3 linked regions of the Schizosaccharomyces pombe genome follow. Changing the gene in region 2 together with the main gene of any one other region gives a genetic interaction. Each region holds a gene or a part of one and is shown on either strand. Other genes may lie near its edges.

Region 1 (3,742 bases), on a different chromosome or scaffold from region 2:
AGCAAAGTGGAAGCGATCGCTATTCTTTAAAGTGCGATTCCGATACTGATTCTTCCACATATTTTGGAGATAGTGCTTCCGAGACATGCTCTTCAGCTTCAAATTCGTTATATAAGCAAACCGATTTAACTTCCTTGTGTATGTTTAATCAGAATAAAATTCAGACCGATTGGTCTTCTATAGATCCAATGGATAATGACAAAATTGTTTGTGCAGACTTTGAGAAAAATTTCAACATTTTAAAAGAGCTCTTAAACAACACAAAAGATAACGGCATTGATCAACAAATCGTGCATAAGGAGCACATCTCTCATCTTGAAAAAATTTGGAAAAATATCAATGAAGAATCATCAGAGGATCCTTCATTATTGTTGCTACGTTTGGAATTCTTGCTTACGGATTTACAAACAGCCATCCGTAAATACTCAGATACGGTGTCTACAAACTCTGTCAATGAAGCATTTTTTGATAAAATAAAAATAGAATTACAAGCATTTGGCGTTCTGGTGTAAAATATGTGAAAGCTATTCTGAACTTCCCGATCATGTTCACCTAACTTTAAAAATTTTGGTGATGAAATGCTTTGACCTTCAATTTTGTGATCACGTATTACCGTTGATCGTTTATATTTTGTTTAATTTTCTTTTTCACTAATGACCTCCCTAATTGTTAGTATTTTCGATTTCTTTTAAGCCTAACATCTAATATATCGGAATATTACACAAAATTAATTAAAAAAGTAATTGAAACTACTTTTCCTAGTAAAAGCTAGATTGTGTAACTGAACTTGCTCTTTTAAAAAGTGACTTTACCGTTATCAATATATTCAATAAATATTCAGTAACCGACAAATCAGAAAACTAGTACGCCATGGTGCTACCATATAATAGTGTTAATATTTTGTATTAAGAAGTACAGAATACTAGAAGCCACAATCATAAAAATATCGTTCCACGTGACAACTTTTGCCTGAAAACATATTGTTGATATTATCAAAACAATTTAGTTGTGCTTCCACAAAAAACAAGGATACGACGTCTCGGACCAGTAAAATAGAAAAAGACATTTTGTAAAAAGAAAAAAGAATGTACATTAACAAAATAATGACGGACTTCAAAATTTGCAAATCCTAAACTAAATAGGAAAAATGAATTTTTCCTATATTAGAGCAAGTAATAAACCGATAACACATATTTCTCAGGTTTGCTTATTTATACCCTTCCTTCGAATCAATTTTGTTAGAGCAAGTGACTTATCCGTTCACTCGTATTTTAAAGAATAAATACTTGACCCTTTTCACTTTTGACGAGTGCCACTTTCAGGATGTTTGGCTGCTTGCATGATGTTCTCGAAAACAGATTGTTTAGAAGCACCTTCTTTGCCACTAATTAAATAAGTCGTTAGTAAACAATAGAATAACAAAGTCTCAATACACATACTACCAAAAGTTGACGAAACGAATTCCTTGTGCCGTTTGAACAGTGGTATTAAAGGCATGGCATCCGAGTAATAAATAGTTACGTGGGCTTACCATCTAAACGCTAGTTAGTAAAAGTTCTATCAAATATTGGAGAAAGGAGTAAGATGATTCAAAACATACCCAGGCATAACGCATAAAGACGCTGGAATAGAGAATAAGTGCTAAGGAGATTAACAAAAAAGCAACTTTTAAACGATACAGAAAGTCATCTCGATAACTGCATTGACAACAGAGATAACCACGATCAGCGGAAAAAAGGAAACTAACTCCAATCTCTAAAAGAGCTTCCCCAAAACCGCATTGTCATGGCCAAGTTATTGATATGACTATTTTTTAACACATACCACCTGTCATGCGCCCAGAAATAAGCCTGGGATCCTTTTTCAAATCCAAAATAGCAGCAATAGGAATTCCAAAATTCGACAACGGACCCCAGAAGCTATCTTATTAGCAAAGAAATCTTTTAAACCATAAATAATATAAAAAAAACGAGAGATAGCAATCTTTAAACCTTTCCATCTACTTACTGAGTACTACATAAATATTTTCTGAAATCAGGGCTTTTCAACCAGGTAATAAACCTTCTTGTGACCGACTGAGCAGCCTTTTGGCTCAACTTTTCTGATGCATTCCTACAAAAAAATGTTAAAACTGTTTTTTTTAGTGACATACATTTTTAAAAAAATAATATAGGCTGTGGTTGGCTTGCCAAAGGCTTCAAATTACTAGCTTATTATCCTATTAGTGGAGCAGAAAAATCGGAGATTAGCTACAGTCTCTTAATGTTTATACCTCAATCAGTTGATGAATATTGGAAGATTATATAACAAATAATCTATTATATATATATTTTTTACTTTATCAGGAAAAAATCTCACTTTTTGAAGAAATCAGATACCGAAGCTTTACGTAATCCATTAATTCACATTATGAGCTTTATTAATTGGATGTTAAAAGAAAAGAAATTCCTGTTGATTTTTTGTCAATTAAGAAGTATACTGATTTCTGGGATTATAGGGAAGAAGGATGATTTCGAGACAAAGTATATATTATTACTTAAATGAGCCTCGTAGACGATTTGAACACTATAGGTAAATTCGAACAGGACCAATTATTTAAATTTTTGTAAAAAGGTATGCTAACTATTTTTGGATAACAAAAACAAAAAATTTGGCTAAATACTCATTTAAACCCTTGCTCAGATCTATACTATTCTATCAATCTATCATTTAAATATTATAAAAATAGAGCAATGCGAATATTTTCCTTACACCTTATTACGAGTGTGAATTTGATATTAAAATTTATGCTGTACAAACTTCTTAAATTAGTTAAGGAAGTTTGACGAGAGAATTATTTGTTTTACGGAAATGAATTGCAATGCTTTAAAGCTGCCTGCCTTTACAACCAGTCCGTAAATATATTAATCAATCTGTCAGTAAATAGAAACGTTTGTAAGCACTAGGTCTGCTTATAACTTTAAGAAAATGACCGCTGCCGCATCGGATGATGCTGTCTATAACAAGTAAGGATTATTTATCAAAATACCATTTATGAAACGATTACTCTAACTTTGTCAGGGTAGCGGATATTCTTAGACAATGTGAGGTAAGTGGTCCTTGTTAGGATGCTTGGAATTAAGATCGAAAGCTAACAATTGATGATTTTAGGATTTTCATCGATTATCTACTCATATTGAGCGATTTGAACGCGAGCAAGCGTCTCTTAATATGCATGTGAAAACGGAGCTCGAAAAGCACGTGGAAGCCGTTGAGGTTAGCACAAATATTAAATTAATGCGATAATTGTAATTGATCTAACTTACGTCTTTAGTTGGGGAAATTGGCACTGCATGATGCTCAAACGAAAAGAGTGAAGCTTCTTCAGGAATTGCATAACGTGAGTAAAGTCGAAGCTTAAGCTTTCTTGACATTTTCTAAAAGACTTTTTTACTAATGTTGATTTTTTTTTAGATGTTGACTTTATGTGAGAGTGCACGCGAGATGGTCGATGAATTTCCGTTAATCAGTCGCATGTCTCGGATATACAAAAATTGTTATGCAACAAAACAAATGATATCGCAGTTAAATAATTTAGTCAAGGAGACAGATGTAATAGAAGACATGTTGCGTGAAGATTTAGAACTTGACTCTGATATGCCAAATTTGTTACGCGCCCATTATAAACTTTCTAAGCTTCGAGAATTCCGTGAAGAAGCCCTATACCAGGCATCCCTTGAAGGCCAAAGTGATCTTCCAATTA
Region 2 (3,758 bases):
CGACAATGTCGTTTTGATGTTGTTGACCCATACTCTCTTGACACTTGTTTACTAATGTCATTTTTTCATTTTTTTCTCATAGACGATAGATTACTCCTTGGGATGTATGAATTTCTTTATCGTTTTCTTCAATTATTAATCCTATCAAATTGTCTGTAGTTTTTCATTCATGAACCAAGTCAGAATCACTTTTATCTTGGTCCTTGTTCATATCCCTTCGCTTGCCATAGCGCCAGCGCCCTTGACATCATGGTAGAGTGTGTTTGATATAGAAGCATCATAAACTATCCAATGGCCAGAACCCTAGAAGATTGCTGAGAAATGTAATTAAAACGTTGTAAATTCATTGCCTTTGGTATTGAGTGTGATGCCTGCGAATTTCATCTTTTCAACTACTGACCTAAGTGTGGTGGATATGTGGACAAATGATGGGATTGTTAAATAATGAAAATGATGCTTAAGAGTTTCTGGAAGAAAACGAAGAATTGATAGATTGGACATTTGACGTTGACTTTCCATTTCTATATAATGGATGTGGATTTCGCTAATGCCAAACACAAACTGCATTGTTTATTAAAAAAAAATTTCCTCTTAACGATTCGATTCAGTTCATTGGTTTCAATACAATACATCCCATTCTCCAATCGTTTGTATGAAATCATCAGTATTGCTCTAAATCCTTGCAATTTTTCTAAAAGTCTTTTTTGGTTACGAAAAAAAATAAAAAACTCCGTTCTGTTAAAAACTTCCTTTGATTCTAACGAAACAATTTTTTTTTTATATTCTCTTCATCGTTGTGTGTATTATCTTTTCATTTATCTGTGATAATACCGATTCTTTATTTATTTATTTACTTAGTTATATACTTGTTATTCCATTCTGTTCCTTTGTTAGTTACTGATCTTCACCTTACTTTCAATCATTTTCTTTTGGGTTGTTGTAAGGTTTATATATTTGGTTTATCTTGTACGATAGTTTGTTTTTTTCTTCATTCGCAAGCTATTCTATCTAGATATTTTTTTAGCTCCATTTCCTATAAGCTTTAGTTTTTCTTTTCCCTTTTCCCGTCTAATTTTTTCTTGTAAAATCGCTAGACGTCCATTTTCATTTTCTTGTTTGCTTGTCTTTTTACATCTCTTCCAAAAATATCCGTCTTCTCTTTACTAGCACAAAGAAGAGAAATATCCTTCCTCCATTTCAATTAAACGACGATATTTCTTTCATTTCATAGTCGTTTACTTTACCAATTAACCCTTGAAAGGACATTGTATCTCGCAAATTCCTTGAGTTTGCTTTCCCGGTAAATTTGGTATAACCGACAACGATCTTCATTGTCTGCCTCCATCCATTCCCCATTAGCTGCTTCACAACGTGACCAGACTGCGAACCCTGCCTCAAGTTTGATTACCGAACCAACATTTGAATCGCTAAACGTTTTTAGCCGCTTCGATTTTCCGAGAAACACATAAACAAAGATTGTGTGTGTTACTGTACCCGTGTGCACTTGACCGTATATTAGGACACTATAACGCTAAGCTGCGTACCGCTTAATTCTGCACTGAGCTCCAAGCCATCCGCCATCGTTCATTTGCGACCCTTTGTCTAGAAACTATTCGCCCCTTGTCTTCGGCCCCATCTATTGGAAGTAACGACCTTCCGATACGGCACTGACGAAGTTGCATTGTTACCCCTAATTACTTTGATCCAAGTTCGATCCACTCTGTGTACTCTGATTGGCTTTCTTATATTTAAGGGCCCCTCATTAGGTGTTTAAGTCTGAAAGCTTCACTGTTATTCGCTCGCATAGTCGGCGTCACTGTTACTTGACCCTTTTATCCTTGTTACCTTTATACATACGTAACGAGAAGGCTTGCTAAATCACCTTATCAATTACTACTTAAACACCGTCCTACCCTTCTTAACGCCTTATTCTGACTAACTTCAACGTGAGGACGACACGAAGGAAGCAGAAGCAAATATACTTACTTAACTTAAGGGAGTTAGTACAATCATAGAATTGTTGTTGAATACCATATATTCAACTTAAAAAAAATTAAACATATTTATAAAAAAAATTCGCTTGCAACATATATTGCGTCCACTAGTTGCCTGCAAAAAAAAGATTACTCTTTTGAAGTATCACCACTCTTTTCGATTGATCTCGATTGTTCATTGAATCAAAGCGTAAATTATTTACTATTTCGCTTTATTTTAAAAAAAAGTCGAATCGAACAGTTTCCTCGACTCGATTCGTTATTACTTGACTTTCTTTGTTGATTAAAAAGGATTCTTTAAAAGGTTTTTACTCCCTTTCTTTTCATCTTATTTATATTATACATTTATCATCCGTTAATCGCCAATTTGTTTAGACTGAAAAAATTAGATAAGTCACTTTGGGGTTTCCACTTAAAACATTACAATACACTAATTACACTTGGGTAATTTAGTGCTTAAAAATAGTTTACCTTCATTTTTTTGCTTGGTAAATTCTTCTTTTAGAAACTTTTTCCTTTTTTTTTCGAATTTATAGTTCGTCGAATTTCATTAGATTTTACATTCAGTCTTTTTTTAATTGCCTTTTTTTACCCCTCTCAGCGCTCTCTAAGAACTTGCCTTCCTTAAGTCGAGTTTTCTAAGTGCATTATTCCCTGATTTCTCAAAAAATAACTTACTAAATTATTTTGTTATTTTTATTCTATTTTTTCATCATTGGTATATAATTTTTAATTTGGTTTCTATTTATCGGTTTATCTTTTAATTTTCTCTTTTATCTCTTTAATTTTATTAATTCCCTTAAAAACTTTTCAATATGCCATCTCTCGCATTGCCTATCAATAAGCCTTCCCATCACAATGTCAACTACAACGGAAATTCCTTTAACAGCATTCATGCTACCTCTTTTGGAATGAGTCCACAGTCTTGGGGAAATAGCTTTAGTGGACAAGCTTGGCTTCGTGATACTATTCCATCTCTTTCTAACGTGGTTGAGTCACAAACGATTCCCGAAGAGGATTCTACCTCTTATCTAAACCGGTTAGAAGAAGCATTTTGCCGTGATTTCCGCTGCTGTGGTCAAACTCTCGAAGATTTGCATCAACTTATTCACCATTATGAAGAGCAGCACGCCGTTCTGGCAACTGATTCTGCTGTTCCTCAAGAATATTCTTTGGATAGCAACAACGCTGCTCAATCTAATCATTCTCATATTCAAGCGCTCAAACAGCGTGAGCGCATCCGTATGCATGATCTTGCTGATCAGCTTGGAACTTCTGAAATTTCTGATAATTCTGCTGTTTTACCATTTGCCTTTCCTGCTAACGGTGGTGCTCCTGGCCCTTACCGCGTTTCCGTTGTCGTACCTGCCGCTGCTGCTGCTGCTGCTGCCGCTGCCAGCTCCGACATGAGCAGTGACGAGGCCAGTAGTCAAGCAGAGACAACTGGTACCCCGAAAAAGATGCCTGAATCATTGGTAATGGATGCAAGCTCCCCTCTCAGTGACATGAGCATGTCTATTGACGTTGGTGAGTCCGCTGCCAATAATGTTTTTGCGTTCAATCAAAAGGACATGGTTGACTCTACATATCTTCCCCCATTCAATTACGATCACGATGTTTTTTCATTTGCTCCATCTGTCGCATCCGCCGATCAATTCACAGAGTCTAGCATGTCTCCTACTCCTGAAGTAGTTTCACCCGCAGCCACAAACTCAGCAATCTCATCCCCATTTGTTAGGAAATCTTCTAGTGATTTGGAAGCTA
Region 3 (3,518 bases), 2.9 Mb from region 2:
GTTTTTGCTGGATAATCTGTAAAATTGTAAAGATCGAAGCATCTTACAAAAATAGAAAAAAAAGGGTATTCAAGGTGTCTATCTGAGACACTAAAAAATCTTTCGTACTTCAAACTGCCAAAATTTAATTTTTAATTATTGTTTAAGAGTTAATTATTATGATATACGTTTTTAGTTGGTGTTCTCCAAAATATTGGTTACTATGTAAGATGAGTCTAACAATATTTTGTCACAGGCATGATGAGAATAAGTTTTAATATTTTTTTCTAAAAGTAGTTTTTAATTAAGCAAGAAAAAACTCTTTTAAAATAAATTAATAGACGTTCCTATCATAGTTCCTAAACCGTTGTTTACGTTAGCCGCCTTGAATTTAGCTACGATTAAGACTACTTTTTGACAAACCGTAAATGTAAATTGATAAATTACAATTAGATACTCGGAAAATTAGAAGGAACCTTAAAAAAAATCAATTAACATGTGCTGTTAAAAACTTAAAGTTGAAGAATAGATACAAACAAAATAAAACCTTTCTATAAATGCTACGGTATTATTCTACATAACAAACTACATTTACTAATCGAATAATAAAAATTAGAACAGGATATTGACTATCAACTCGCGTTATGAAAATCCATCAAAAACTCATTAAATATTATTACAATAAAAACCTTGCGCTGGTACAAAAGAACATGTACATTTTTAATAGCTTAGCTATAAAAAATGCAAGTAATTAAAAAATTTAGCCATTTATAGACGTTATACCAAAACCTTTTTCTTCTCCATTTTCCTTTTTGCATATTTTGGAGGCTGAAAATTCGGTATATTGGAAGTGGCCAGCTTCTCAGAAACCAAATCTATAGGTTTGGGTAATTCTTTTTCAACCGTTGTTTCTGCATTCAATCTTCTTATAATTTCACCATCCTGAGACGAAAACAACGATTTAGCTTCACGATCAATTTCTTCTTCCTCAAATTTCCGCTTTTTGGACTCCTCTTCTTCAATTGATCCATATGCATCTTCCTTTAAGAGAGCGATTGCATCATCAATGTTAACTCGAGACCTTCGAGCGCTCTTTTCACGTAGTTCGTCGAGTGCATCACTAATTTGCATTTGTCGTTTAGTGTCTAATGTTTTTTGTTCTAATTTTTCCATTTCGTCCTCCTCAGGAATGTCATTGCGTTCAGCTAACTCATTTTCTTCATATTCTTGTAATCTTTTTTCATGCCACGGCTCATAATTCCTGGAAGCTCCACTCTCTGCTGCATAATCTGCATGTTTTGGATCGGTTATAAATGTTATTTCAGCAGCACACCTAGTGCAGCGAATATAAAACCTCAATATATCAATTGAAAAATATTTTTCGCCGGTTTTCTCCTTCCTAGCGTTAAACTTTTTTCCTTTATATATATACTCTCCACAAGTATGACAGCGCATTGAAAATGGAGTCATCAAACGAACAGTCAATTTCCCACCATTTGGTCCTTGAAACTTTTTCTTTTTCTTAGGAGGACGAATGGAAGGATCATAATCGGGCGGGATATACTTGTTAAGTACCTTTCGTTCAGACATTGTTGGAAACTATGAAAAAAAAATGAAATGAACGTACGAGAATTGCTTTACCAAATTCAAAAAAAAAGAATAAATTAAAGTAAGGAAAATTTAACCGTCCTTTTGGGTTGGAATTATTTGACTTTACAGATGAATTTGAAAATGCTAGTTTTATGTGGATATGCGCTTTTTGTAAGCGAATGGCAAAAGTACTAGTACTATCTGTAGTTCTTTGACACTCGATACGTCGCGGTAATAAATTGAATGCGCACATAGCACTACGTAAACATATTTAGTACCATCCTTATATTTCCTTATACAATACCTGAGCTGAGCTATCGAGACGTGAGCAAGCGTTGTTTGTCAATCTTACACCTTCCGGTGTTTTAAGAGTACTTTAGATTCCCTTATAAATTGTGTATTATTTAAATGCTTCTGATTAATTTTGACTGATCAGTCTCCATAGTACTTTACGCTTACAGCAATAGACAATTAATGGGGTTGTTGGCATTAATGGCAGGAATAGATGATTTATATGAACTTGGTTAAAAATCGCTGTATTTCAGCTTATGTTCGTCTTAGTAAAGTTGATAGCAATGATCATAAGAAAACACCTGCTATATTAATTTATCATATGTTCATTTAAGTAAAGCTTGTGGAAGAACCCAAGTTTAAAATGGTTTAAAAGATAACTGTATAGTAATTACACAATTGTCATTTTTCGTTAGTTTAATAACTAAAGCTTTGTGAAAAGAAAGACTGACTTATATGTACGTATGTAAATCATTAAAACGAGAAGAAAATAGCTAACGATGTCCGCAACTGAAAAGAATGAAAGCTGACCCGGGATATTCTGAACAAATCTTTTTTAGCAGACAATATCGAAATGGGATTGCCTCCATATCGAGATAAAGTGTTCAACTGGAGAGAGTATATGTGGAAATGGTACCACCAATTTAATGAAAATTCAACTAGATAATGAAGCACCGATTGTTCAAAGTACTATTCTTACAACAACGAACAATTTGATTGAATTGACTTCTTTTAAAATAATACTCCAATTAAAAACAAACAAATTAAGCCGACATTAGCGATATAGAAGTCGGTATACGTTTGTTCATTAGTCTGAGTTGGAAATAACATAACTCAAACAACACCAACGAGTGATATGCTTGGCTATCAAAGTAAAGAATCTAAATGAGTGAAAACTTGAAGAACAGCAGCGACTACCTCAATGAAAAGTAGTTGCTCTTCCTTCACAGAGGAAAGTTCTTCGGAAATTAGCTCAGGCAAGTTAGCGCCAACTGACGAAGAAGCATGAAGATCAAAAGGCCATTGCGAAAAGTCACAGAGAAGCTCGTCTACGCGAGAAAATGCTTTTTCACGATCTTCATAGTTTAAATTGTCAAGAGCGTTTTCAAGAACATTAGCAGCGTATGAGGAACAAGCAAGGGCAACAGTGCGAAGGCAACGAAAAGACAAATATTCTGGGAAAGAAGGTGAATTATCAATTTCAATTACTCGTGAAGTAAGAACAGAGACCACTCTTTTTTTAATGGAATCTTTAATGGAGGTATCGGCAATGGGATGAGTTGGCATGTCGAAAAGTAAGAAATTCTTCTTCTCATTTCTTAAAATCCCTTTGTCAACAAGGCCCTTTGCCAACCGTTCGCGTACTTGTCTTAATTGATATCCAATCTTCATCACATTCCACGTTTCACCACTCATCAAATCAATCCAAGAGGTTACAGACATGAGTTCGCTAGTATGTATCATTTTAATAGCTTCGTCTAAAAGAACCTCACCTGTAAGTTTTTCATCAACCAACTCCACTACACGATCCGCTAACGGAAAGCGTTTACGATTAACGTCTTTTTGCATACGCAACTTTCCACGAAATGCGAGCTCCATTAGAATACATCCCCGAAGAGAATAAGAAATGCTGTCATTCCAAAAAGAAAGATAACCTT

What was found.
Region 1: mutations in sfp1 (region 2) and mpc1 together harm fitness more than expected from each alone (negative genetic interaction), as found in Schizosaccharomyces pombe (one large-scale study listed by BioGRID).
Region 3: mutations in sfp1 (region 2) and cwf16 together harm fitness more than expected from each alone (negative genetic interaction), as found in Schizosaccharomyces pombe (one large-scale study listed by BioGRID).

What each region holds. Positions count from the first base shown.
Region 1 is NC_003421.2:198,542-202,283, reverse strand, and holds mpc1 (protein mpc1), read right to left. Parts: upstream 2,183-3,742; 5' UTR 2,155-2,182; coding exon 2,153-2,154; intron 2,113-2,152; coding exon 2,008-2,112; intron 1,920-2,007; coding exon 1,825-1,919; intron 1,642-1,824; coding exon 1,601-1,641; intron 1,535-1,600; coding exon 1,440-1,534; intron 1,385-1,439; coding exon 1,297-1,384; 3' UTR 659-1,296; downstream 1-658. Other genes in the region: mug146 (protein mug46), read left to right, coding at 1-512; sec6 (exocyst complex subunit Exo3), read left to right, coding at 2,968-3,005, 3,061-3,088, 3,151-3,255, 3,314-3,379, 3,454-3,742. UniProt on the Schizosaccharomyces pombe protein: Mediates the uptake of pyruvate into mitochondria.
Region 2 is NC_003424.3:4,432,684-4,436,441, reverse strand, and holds the start of sfp1 (transcription factor Sfp1), read left to right. Parts: upstream 1-1,928; 5' UTR 1,929-2,809; coding exon 2,810-3,758. Other genes in the region: SPOM_SPAC9E9.02 (uncharacterized protein), read left to right, coding at 529-825; SPOM_SPAC9E9.01 (uncharacterized protein), read right to left, coding at 1,241-1,503, 1,545-1,581.
Region 3 is NC_003424.3:1,488,014-1,491,531, forward strand, and holds cwf16 (splicing factor), read right to left. Parts: upstream 1,743-3,518; 5' UTR 1,570-1,742; coding exon 757-1,569; 3' UTR 597-756; downstream 1-596. Other genes in the region: F1-ATPase chaperone Atp12, read right to left, coding at 1-42; gpp74 (golgi phosphoprotein 3), read right to left, coding at 2,728-3,518.